Linked DNA regions of Cricetulus griseus. The main gene of each other region encodes a partner of the protein of the gene in region 2 in a complex. Links are inferred from orthologs where the notes say so. Each region holds a gene or a part of one and is shown on either strand. Other genes may lie near its edges. The genes, in order: Poglut1, F7 and F3.

The links.
Region 1: the proteins of F7 (region 2) and Poglut1 are in contact, whole or in part, in a crystal structure (PDB 5L0S), measured with the Homo sapiens proteins. The link is inferred for Cricetulus griseus from reciprocal best matches to the Homo sapiens genes F7 and POGLUT1. Residues at the interface, in NP_000122.1 of Homo sapiens: Asp108, Gln109, Cys110, Ala111, Ser112, Ser113, Pro114, Cys115, Gln116, Asn117, Gly118, Gly119, Cys121, Gln126, Ser127, Tyr128, Arg139, Asn140; in NP_689518.1 of Homo sapiens: Met103, Phe104, Pro105, Ser106, Arg107, Arg132, Asp133, Pro171, Ala172, Trp174, Pro178, Thr179, Thr214, Asn239, Gln240, Ala241, Val274.
Region 3: the proteins of F7 (region 2) and F3 are in contact, whole or in part, in a crystal structure (PDB 6R2W), measured with the Homo sapiens proteins. The link is inferred for Cricetulus griseus from reciprocal best matches to the Homo sapiens genes F7 and F3. Residues at the interface, in NP_000122.1 of Homo sapiens: Leu73, Lys78, Phe91, Arg96, Leu99, Phe100, Ser103, Ser120, Lys122, Gln124, Leu125, Ile129, Cys130, Phe131, Cys132, Leu133, Pro134, Phe136, Glu137, Gly138, Arg139, Lys145, Gln148, Ile150, Val152, Asn153, Glu154; in NP_001984.1 of Homo sapiens: Thr49, Asn50, Lys52, Ile54, Glu56, Trp77, Lys78, Ser79, Lys80, Phe82, Tyr83, Glu88, Asp90, Asp93, Gly141, Gln142, Thr144, Glu162, Arg163, Thr164, Leu165, Arg167, Phe172, Tyr188, Trp190, Lys191, Ser192, Ser194, Ser195, Gly196.

Annotation. Positions count from the first base shown.
Region 1 is NC_048597.1:51,614,960-51,618,610, reverse strand, and holds part of Poglut1 (protein O-glucosyltransferase 1), read right to left. Parts: coding exon 3,611-3,651; intron 2,004-3,610; coding exon 1,947-2,003; intron 961-1,946; coding exon 804-960; 3' UTR 1-803. UniProt on the Homo sapiens protein: Dual specificity glycosyltransferase that catalyzes the transfer of glucose and xylose from UDP-glucose and UDP-xylose, respectively, to a serine residue found in the consensus sequence of C-X-S-X-P-C.
Region 2 is NW_023276807.1:67,735,644-67,739,294, reverse strand, and holds part of F7 (coagulation factor VII), read left to right. Parts: intron 1-2,197; coding exon 2,198-2,222; intron 2,223-2,299; coding exon 2,300-2,413; intron 2,414-3,152; coding exon 3,153-3,293; intron 3,294-3,651. UniProt on the Homo sapiens protein: Initiates the extrinsic pathway of blood coagulation. Serine protease that circulates in the blood in a zymogen form. Factor VII is converted to factor VIIa by factor Xa, factor XIIa, factor IXa, or thrombin by minor proteolysis.
Region 3 is NW_023276806.1:36,748,893-36,752,543, forward strand, and holds the end of F3 (tissue factor), read right to left. Parts: intron 2,225-3,651; coding exon 2,046-2,224; intron 1,315-2,045; coding exon 1,155-1,314; intron 683-1,154; coding exon 546-682; 3' UTR 324-545; downstream 1-323. UniProt on the Homo sapiens protein: Initiates blood coagulation by forming a complex with circulating factor VII or VIIa. The [TF:VIIa] complex activates factors IX or X by specific limited proteolysis.

The DNA.
Region 1 (3,651 bases), on a different chromosome or scaffold from region 2:
CAGTAGTTCAAGGCTATCCTTGAACTCTTGTAGCTGAGGGTGGTCATGAACTCATCCTTCTGTTTCTACTTCAGAAGAAGTGCTAGTATTACAGGGACATCTCTCTCTCTCTCTCTCTCTCTCTCTCTCTCTCTCTCTCTCAAGACTGCTTTCTAATGTATTAACGAATTTCTCAGGCATGAAGGCACAAAACAGGCACTTGAAATCCAACTGCGAAAATAACTCAGGCAATTGAGGCATTATAGGAACCTCCTGAGTGCCAAAGAATTTATCCTTCTACAAAAGAGAACACCAACAGCACTGCATGGCACAGCCACTGCTTCCTTAGACTCTTCAGGACATGACCATTGCAGTACTTTCACAAACCCCACAGGATTTCTACACTAAAATTAAGTAATAGACATCAAGCCTAGAATAACTTCAGAGTTGCAGATATGAATTGTACCAAATGATGGATGATGATCTGCTCCAAATAATAGGACAAAGGGCATCTTCACATGGACCCAGTCAATTTCACAGTGATGATACATGTAGATGACCTGAGGCACAAGCTGTGATTGATCATAAGAAAATGAAAGATAGGATGTAGTTCCAAATCCTTATTTCATGATTTCAAACATTCAAATAGCTGTTCATCACATACATTTTTAGGTCTTTCTCAAGAGTCCTCCCAGATACAACATGATAAGGAAAACTGAATACTAGGCTTGGCAAAGGTGTTCAAAGCATAGGTGTCACACTCATGGTATTTCACCACAGAGCATCTCAGATCCACTGCCAGGATTCCAGTCCTCTGATGATGACTACAGTTCAGTTTTCCAAAGTCTGGGAATGATCTGATCATAATCTTTCCTTCTTGTTACATTATAGGACAGGAATTTGGAGTATTCAGTCAAGAGGCTCTCCCAGTAACAGGTGATGTCATTCATGTGCAAATGGTTTATGATGAACTGGCTTCCCCTAGAGATAAGATTAACAAGAGTATATTACAGGCTTTAATAATAAGTCCACATATAGTTAGGCTACTTTATCACAAGCCTCGTTCTGAGTATTTTATTTGATTTAACTCACCAGCACCTCACAACCAACCCTGTAACTGTCATATCCATAAGCATGTATTTAGCAAGAGCACTTAACATTTGATTCTCAAAACAAGCATTATTGCCGGGTGGTGATGGTGCAAGCCTTTAATCACAGCACTTGGGAGATACTCAATGAGTTCTAGGCCATCTTGGTCTACAAAGTGAGTTCTAGGACGGTCAGGACTGTTACACAGAGAAAACCTGTCTCAAAAACAACCAACCAACCAACCAAACAAACAAAAAACCACAATCAAACAAACCAAAAAAACCCCAAGCATCATTACCAGCCAATATTCATTTTAAACACTTGTTTGTTGTTGTTTTGTCTTGGTGTGGTTTGGAGTTTTGAGACTTCTTACTCCTTCCTTCAGGCTGGCCTAGAATTCACTTCATAGCCCAGACTGTCCTGGAACTCAAAACGATCTCTTGACTCAGTCTCTCCATTGCTGGAATTATAGGTGTGAGTCACCATGTCCAGCTAAAAACATTTGTCTGAGTTCTTCAAAGACTGAAATCTAGGGCCTGGAGAGAGGGTTCAGTAGTTAAGTGTACTGCTCTTGCAAAGGGCCAGCTCATGTCCAACACTAGGGGGTCCTATGCCTCTGATCTCCTGGGCACCAGCACTGACATGCATATACCCATAAACAGACACAAATATACATACAATTTAAAAATAAATCTTCAAAAGACTGAAATCTGTTTGTATAAAACATGGAGCATTTGTGGATGTGTGTATCTGCCTTCAGCATAGCTTTAACTCTGGAGTACTTTTGTATGAAGCTGAGGTGTGGACATTATCATGTAACTCTATTTAGAAAACTTTACTACAGATGAGGCAAGAAAGGACAAATGAATAGAGCTTACCTTTTAGCAATTTCCTGAGCAATATCATCATTTGCTTTTACAAACTGCAACAGTTCCCTAAAATGACAAGAACCATGACACTGTAGAAGCTGGGGAGATGTTCAGCTGCTAATGTATTTGCCATGCAAGCACAGGGACCCGTGTTTGACACTGATACCCACATAAGAAGCCAGGCATGACGGGTTGTGCTTTTAATTCCCATGCTAGCAAAGTATTGACCAATGGATCCCTGGTGCTTGCTGGCCAGCCAGCCAATTCTAATAAGCAAGCACAAGGTTCCAGCAGGAGATTCTGTCTCAAAGAGAACAAAATGTATGGCCCCTGAAGAACAACATCTAAGGTTGACCTCTGGCCTTCATACACACACAAACACATGTGTGCCATACACAGCATGGCCTTCATACACACACACACACACACACACACACAACACACACACACACACACACACACACACACACCAGCTTTTAAAATATAGATCACATTCATTAAAACCAAGTAAAAAAAGACAACAGATAAATAGATAAATCTGTAGATATGTAGGTTGCAGATAATTTCTTTAAAGCAAAGATATTAGGGTAACTAAAGAAATAAAGATAATAGCAAAGAAAAAGACTCTATATACAAAACCAGGAGCAGTGGGACTGATGATCCCAGCACATAGGAGTTCTGTAGAAGCAAGAGGATCAGGAGCTCAAGGCCACCTCAACTATATAACAAGTTTGAAAACAGCCTAAGTTACATAAAACCGTATCTCAAAAAAGACAAAAGATGGAAAAAACTACAGGTTAAAGTCAGATTGTCACCTGTCACTATCATCAATTATACTATGTTCTAGTACATAAATTTGAGATATACTTTTGAAAAAACAAAAATGTACAACAATAATAATAAACCAAGTATGAAAAATAATTTCTGGGGCCAAAAAAATGGCTCAGGAGGTGGCAGCAACAGCGTGACAAGCCAAGTCTCCCCTGGAAACTCATGTGAAAAGCAGGATGTGGTGGCAATCTTCTGTTGTCTTAGTAGGAGACAGGCATAGGAAAATCACCAGGAAGCCCGAAGGCCAGCAAACTTGGAGGGCGCAGCACAGCTGTAGAAACAGGAGACCCTGCCTCAGCCAGGCGGAGGGCAAGGTCAGACTCCTGGAAGATGTGCTCTGACCACCACATACGTGCAGTGACAAGTGCATATGCTCTTTCACAAGTGTTTCTCCCCCCCAACACACACACACACACACACACACACACACACACACACACACACACACACACACACACACACACCTACCTTTAATTTCTACCTCGTTCCAGCCAGGAGGGAACTGGTTCACAGTTCTGGCCCTTCTCCACATCCACACCTCTTTTTGTCTCCTCCCACCATGAAAGACTCTGCCAGGGCTTCACTAAATAACAATATAACAAGGCCAAATCTATCTGCAGTTGCTGAAAGGTCAAAGCCTTTCCTTCATCTAACATTGTGTTAGAAACAGCACTGTAAATTAAAGTGCTTCAAATTCAATCCCAATTATAACACATGCCAGTACACATGTGTACAGGGGAAAAGTTCCCACTGAAAATGAAATCATCTGAGAAAACACCTGGCGTAGCTGCACTTCGGAGAGCATGGTCATATGACACTGTAAGTTGGGACTAAGAGCTTACTGGACATTGGAGAGGTCTGTTTTGACTGGGATGTAGTGAAC
Region 2 (3,651 bases):
TATTTAATTAACTTTTTAAAATTTATTTTACATACCAACCACAGTTTCCCCTCCCTCCTCTCCTCACAGATGACACCAGCTAAGACTCCTAGCAATAGTGTACAGGGTGCCTGACCTGGTCATCTACTTAAACCCATATGCAAATTTTTACAAGAGAAAAAACTATAACTCCTAAAGCACACTTGATGTGCCTACTATTTTCCCAAAGGAAAATCCTTATTCCAGAAATATCTAGGGCTGCCTGTGAAGTTGACCTGAGAAGGGAAGATTGCCCTAGCAGGGAGGGCTGCTCACACACACATGCAACCCTCACTGCTGTCCCCACAGTAGGTGGTTCCTTTAGGGAACATGTGAAGAACACTGTGGCTTCCTCCACCACACGGCCATGTGTACTTCGATTATGAGTTACTCTATTTGTTTGTTTCTTTTAATTTGAAGCAAGGTCTTGCTATGTAGCCCAGGCTAGCTTCCAAAACTATCTTCCTGCCTCTGCCTCCTGACTGCTGGATTTACAGTATGTGCTACCCTGCCCAGCACTGTGGTTTCATTTTGTAGAAGAGGCATATTTAAACATTATTGAGCATTTTCCGTTCTAGTTAAACATCTGTCTTTGAGTGTTTTTTTTTTTTCCCCTAGGAAGGGTGTGTCAAGATAGGACAATCTTTGAGACTGGGTTCATCATGTTTAGTTTTGTCATCATCGCTGGAAAAATACAGTTAATCACATTCCTGAAGTAACTGTGAGGGGTTTATTTTTCATTCTCCAAGGGATTTTTTTTCTCTCACCAGCTTTGACTCATATCACATCTCAAACATCTCTCTCACACAAGTTCTCATGCTAAAGGCTTCACACTCACAGGAGACCTCACACTCACATTCAGAGAACACCTCTCTCGAAAAAGTTCTTACACTCACAGGAGGCTTCACACTCAAAAGGCCTCACACAGGAAACTCATGTACACAGGAGAATTTACACCCACAGAACACCTCACACAGGACACCTCACACAGAGGACTTCATTCTCACAGGATATCTCATACAGAGAACCTCACACAGAACACCTCATCCTCACAGAATACCTCACACAGAGCACCTCACACAGGAAACCTCACACAGCACACCTCACACAGAACACTTCATTCTCACAGAACACCTCACACAGAGCACCTCACACAGAATACCTCACACAGGATACCAAATTCTCACAGAACACCACACACAGAGAACCTCACACAGAACACCTCACACAGGACACCTCACACAGAATACCTCACACAGCACACCTCACACAGCACACCTCACACAGCACACCTCACACAGGATACCTCATTCTCACAGAACACCACACACAGAGAACCTAACACAGAACACCTCACACAGGATACCAAATTCTCACAGAACACCACACACAGAGAACCTCACAGAGAACACCTCACACAGGACACCTCACACAGAATACCTCACACAGAACACCTCACACAGGATACCAAATTCTCACAGAACATCTCACACAGAACACCTCACACAGAATACCTCACACAGAACACCTCATTCCCACAGGATATTTCACAGACTCAAAGGATACATCACGCAGGATGACACAGTCCATTCATAGAACAGCTCTTTCACAAGTGTCCTCACACCCATAGGACACCTCACACAGGGAACCTGCAGAAGTTACTTTTCTCATTGGTACAACCAAATACCTGACAAGAAACAACTGAAGAAAAGACAGGCTTATTTTGCTTCATAGTTCAGGAGGAAGGCCATCTTGGTAGGTAGGGAAGGCGTGATATCAGGAACACGAGGCAGCTAGCTGGTCACAGTGCATTCAGTCAAGAGGTAGAGACTGATGTCTGCTGGTGCTCAGCTCATGTCTTCCTTTTTATTCAGTCCAGGGCTCCCATGGAAGGATGCTTACCACATTTAGGGTTCCAGGCCACTGCAGGGGGGGGGGAGCCGCATTGGGGCCAGAACTCAGGTGCACTGACTTGAGAGAGGCTACTGTGTCGTGGCTTTAGATGTCTCTAGAAAGGGCATAGAAAACATCCACCTCAGATAAGCCAGAGGGAATCTGTCTTCCCAAGTCCCTCACAGAGGTCAGGAGCCCCACCCATAGCTCCTGAGCTCCCTCCATGGACACTAACTGCTACAACTTCTCATGAGCGTGCCTCACATGGCTTCTTCTTCCCCCTCAGAAGGAGTTCTGGATTGTTTACACTGGTGAGTAGGTGAAGAGCCATTTGTGCCCCTCCCTTGTGGGCCTTCTTTGCAGCACACTAATGCCAACTCACCCACAGATGGGGACCAATGCGCCTCGAATCCATGCCAGAACGGGGGCACCTGCCAGGACCACCTCCAGTCTTACATCTGCTTCTGCCTCCTAGACTTTGAGGGCCGGAACTGTGAGAAGAGTGAGACCAACTTCCTGCCTCAGTTTACAGATGGATGGAGTAGGGAGGGGAGGACCCGGGTCCCTGATTCCAGGGTGTTCAGCCTCAGCCCCTGTGGGAAACCCGTCCAGGAGACATTAAGTACTCTCTTCAAATTGAGAGTCTAAGGTTTGGGGTCTCAGACTCAGTGTCCCTTTTGGCTCCCTACCCTGGGGATTCTGATGATCTGCGGAGAGGTGAGGAAGGGTCCCTATGTCACTATTCAGCTTCTGTCCCCACCAGGCAAGTCAGCCAGGTGAATGTCACCTGGTTTAAACGCCTGCTGGTTTAAATGTATGAAGTATTTCACCCTCTGCCTGCTGGTTTAAAGGTGTGAAGTATTTCTTCAGCTCTGAAACATCAAACTATCGTTAAGCTTAGAGTCCATCAAAGCACACTGGCCCCAGAAGTTCCTCAGTGGGCCTCATAGAATCCACTGGCTGCAGATTTACACATGTTTATTTTGTTACACCAAAATTTGTGAAGAAGCCAAGAGCAGACTAGCCCAGAGTCCTCCAAACGCCACTGAGGCTGCCACTGTTGAGACTTCTTAGATGTGTGGCTCCCAGCTCCAGGTCTCCTCCCTCCGGATCAGTCCACAGGGCAGGTGATGCCAAGTTCAGTCTCAATAGTCTGCAGCTGCACACTGCCTCCCAAGGGGACAAGGACAACCGCCATCATGGCTGGCCTGCCAGCCTCTCAGCCTGTTTTCTGTCCTCAGACAAGAATGACCAGCTGATCTGTGCAAATGAAAATGGTGGCTGTGACCAGTATTGCACTGACCATCCAGGGACCAAACGCTCCTGCCGCTGTCATAAGGACTATGTGCTTCAGCCAGATGGGGTGTCCTGCAAACCGAAAGGTATGGGTCCCAAGGGCTGGTGCTCTTACACCCTGGAGAGCCAGTCACCTTCGCTGGCCCGTGGCAAGTTATCAGCCCAAAGATGTGTAACAGACCAGATCCCGGCTAAGCAAGCATCTAATAGACACTGAATGGCTGTGAGGTGGAAGACAGTGAGCTGAAGGACACCCTGCCTGGGAGCTGTTAACTTGGAACTCTGGGCCAGCATCCTGCACTGTCTCAAGTGCCCTGCCCATTAAAGTCAGGCCAGGGGTGAAAAGAGGCCCTTCATCTCCTCTAATGTCCAATCTGGATATCTTTAGGACACGCCTGGGAGTCACATAGACACACCTGGCATATCTGCCCACTGATGCACAGT
Region 3 (3,651 bases), on a different chromosome or scaffold from region 2:
GCTAAATTGTAATACATAACAGAAAGATGCCCCATGCAGAAATATACTGCATTTAACACATTAATATGAAAGTTTGCCAATTTCTTTGAACTTTCAACAGTACCTAGAAGGGGGAAAAAAAGAAACCAAATACCACTTTACAAAAGGACAGCTGTCAGAAAAGTCTACCCAATTTCCATTTTAACTGTTCTATAGCCAATGAAATCAGCTTCTTAAAGGCTCTCCCAAAAGTCCACCCCAGTTATACGAAAGGCATCTGTCCCCTGGTGACCTAGTGTCTTCCTGAGTGTAGAATAGACAATCTAAAGCATTTGTGCAAAAGACTCTGTAGTGTTAACCTGTCTGTACCCTTCAGTACACTCTAAAGTGACAAATGCTAGTGTTGGAATCAGAGTGTTGGCTGGAATATCAGGTCGCAAAGGGAACCTTTCTGTACCAGGATCATCAAGCTCTCTGCTCCATATCCTTGGTCCCCATTAGAGGTCTTGGTAACAGTGCCCTGCAGGTAGTGCAGGATTTAGAGGCTTCAGACTCCTTCCTCTCCTCTATGCTGAGCGAAGTGGGGAGTTCTCCTTCCTTTTCTGCCCTGCTCTGCCCTTTCTGTGCTTGCACAGATATATGGACAGGAAGATGACAAAGAGGATGAGCACAAACACCACTGCTCCCACAATGATGAGTGTTTCTGAAAATAAAAAATAAAAGATACAAAGTCAACTTGGAGGCTCAAATCCCATTCACAGGTGGGCATGACCCCAAACTACACCATCCTTCGTTTTTTCAACCGAAAGTCTATTTCTTTTACCCTTTCTACCACTCTTAGACTAAGAAAGAATTTACCTGGCCTCATATGCTTGAGAGAAATGACAATGGTTAAGCATTAAATGAACCACTCCGTGTTCCTGGCTAGAGAAGACTGTGACTTGGTACTTAAGTCTGAATTGCATACACAGTGCCCCATAGAATTTGACCCATTGCAATTGCCTAGGGAAGTGCTTGCTAACTAAGGGAACCATGTGGAATCATTTCTAAATTTTCCCAAAGAGAACTCAAAAAGAAACCCTAAAACACCCTAAGGTGGCTTCTCCCTGGTGTTTGATCCAAAGAGATACATGTTGTCTCTGCTGTGGGGCAGCCAATCCTCCATGGACACTTACCTCCCATTATACTCTCCCATTCGTCCGAGCACTCGGTGTCGCTTTGTGGGCTCTGCTGGTCATCTTTCCTGGAGTTAATCAGAGCTTGTACAGAGAAGCAGTAGCTTACTGGTTGATCCACAAGAATGGAGAAATCATTAGTTTTTGTATTGGCTTGCTTCTGTGAAAAGATAAAGAGTTCTTCTTATTCCATCTAGACTCAGAGTGAATTCTTTCCCCTTATTTAGTCACTGGGGAGGGTGAAACCTGAGCTCTAAGCAAAATCTATGCAGACATCATTGACATAGGATGACTAGAAGTTACTTGGCTAATCAGTAACTCCTGATAACTGTTAAAGATACCTTTGCCAAGGCTGAAAAGATACAACTTAGGTACATCTGACTCAGTTCAGCCCCCCCTTTTTTTCTGTAGGAAAAAAAAGAACCACTGAAGAGGGGACATTTGGGGGCCAGGGATGTAACTCATTGATAGAGAACTTGTCTAGTGTACAAGGCCCTGGATAACAACCCAAGCATCACAAAGTAGCACAAGCGCTCACGAGAGAGAGAGAGAGAGAGAGAGAGAGAGAGAGAGAGAGAGAGATTAGTTAATAAGTCATTTCCCCCTCTGGGAACCCCAGTGAGGATGTGGGAGAGGACAGGAGCCTTGGAGATGATCTGGTCCAGCTCTTTGGTTGAGAAACTGGAATCTCTGAAAGGACCTGCCCAAGGGCACAAGGCAACTAACTCAAAAGTGACAAGAGAATGAGGACCTGTCATCCATACCGCCATGTCAACCCCTACTCCTATATTTGAACTAGGAAACCCCTATATTTGAACTAGGAAAGAAGTGGGCTGTGGAGAATCAAGGTTCTATAAAACAAGGAATAAAAATGAATGAAAAATTTCTCACCTTTCCTGAGCTTGAGTCTCTCCAATAAAGAAGTTTATAACTCAAATCCTTGCCAAAAACCTCCCGCAAGGTGAGGAATGTGCCGTTCCTTCGGACCGCTGTTTGTGTGTCTTCTACCGTCACATTCAGCTGGGTATCCTTTTGTTTAAAATGCTTAATTACTGGCTGTCCAAGTTTTGCTGGAATGGGAAAAAAAAACAAATTATCTTTGTTGGACATTAGAATCAATACAAAGAAAAGATCACTGAGTTGTCGTTAACTGACAACTCCTCCATGGCTCATATAGAACATCTGTACTGAATCAGCTCCAGTAGCAGGAGTGGTGGGATCCTAGAGCTGAGTTCCAAGACAGCATGCAGCAATGCCATCCTCTGGAAACATAGGAGAGCTTTCCTTACAACCATCAGAAAATGTGAAAAGGAGCTGGTGGAATTAATCTTAATAATAAACTTTAACAGGTTCATTGGTAGACTAGCATTTTAGCATGCAATCAATATAAATACTTCATGTATATTTTGCATTTTTCAAAAACTGGCGTATGTTTCATCTTGGCAGTATTAGCAGTATTTCTAGAGTCTGGTTGCCATGTGTGTGGATGGTTGCTACCAGGCTGGATGATGCAGTTTTACAAGCGTCCATATTTTAGCTAAAATAAATTAGGGGCTGGGAAGCCCAAGAAGTGTCCCTGGTCCACCAAGGAATCCATTTTAAGCTATTTCTGGTTCAGTTCCCTCATGTGCTCCAGTTATGTGATGATCAAATAAGTCCCCACCCTTTGCAGTGTGTGTGTGTGTGTGTGTGTGTGTGTGTGTGTGTGTGTGTGTGTGTGTGAGCATGTATGTTCTGTCATGTACCAAAAGGAGTTGGTCTGGATTATTGAAAGCTCAAGAACTACAAAGGATAATCATGGCTCGGGCCATGAGACCGTCAGTGAGCCTGCATGAGATGAAGGTGTCATGCAGAAACAAACATACGGGGGAAAAACACAAAGGAGTCTGAAGAGAGAGGCTTGTCAACCAATGGAGACCCTAGGAAGAAGGCCACATTCACCTGGGTAATTAGCCCATGAGAGCAGATATCAGACATAAAATTCTGGTCAATTGTCCCTCACCCTTCTCACCATCCATGTTACAGAGCTGTCAAAGGGGTACAGATAGGAACATCAAGAATCCAACACTTTACTTTGAGTCAGCAGGGCTTGCAGAAGTAGTAGAGTTCATTCAGTCTCCCTAATATGCTGCGTGTGCTCACGAAATGTCAGCTTCTGAATCACAGTCCCACACCCACCACCACCCCCAAAAAGTCTCCTACTTGGCAGGAATTCTTTGCATTCCCTTATTAGATGGCAGACTAGCACACTGGCACAAAGGTAGGGAAGAAAGTATGCCACACGCTCAAACCCAGCTAGAGGGAGGCTGGCTCAGAGCTGGCGCACACTGGCTCATCTCAGGAGCAAATGAAGCTCAGCTGGTTGAGGAACCAATTACCTATTTACAGGTACAAGCAAGCTTCCCTGTGGATCTGGGTTTGTTTGGGGACAATCCTCAACTAGGACCTCTAATCTGAAGGGATAGAAAATCCATGTGTGACATGTATCCTGACAGTG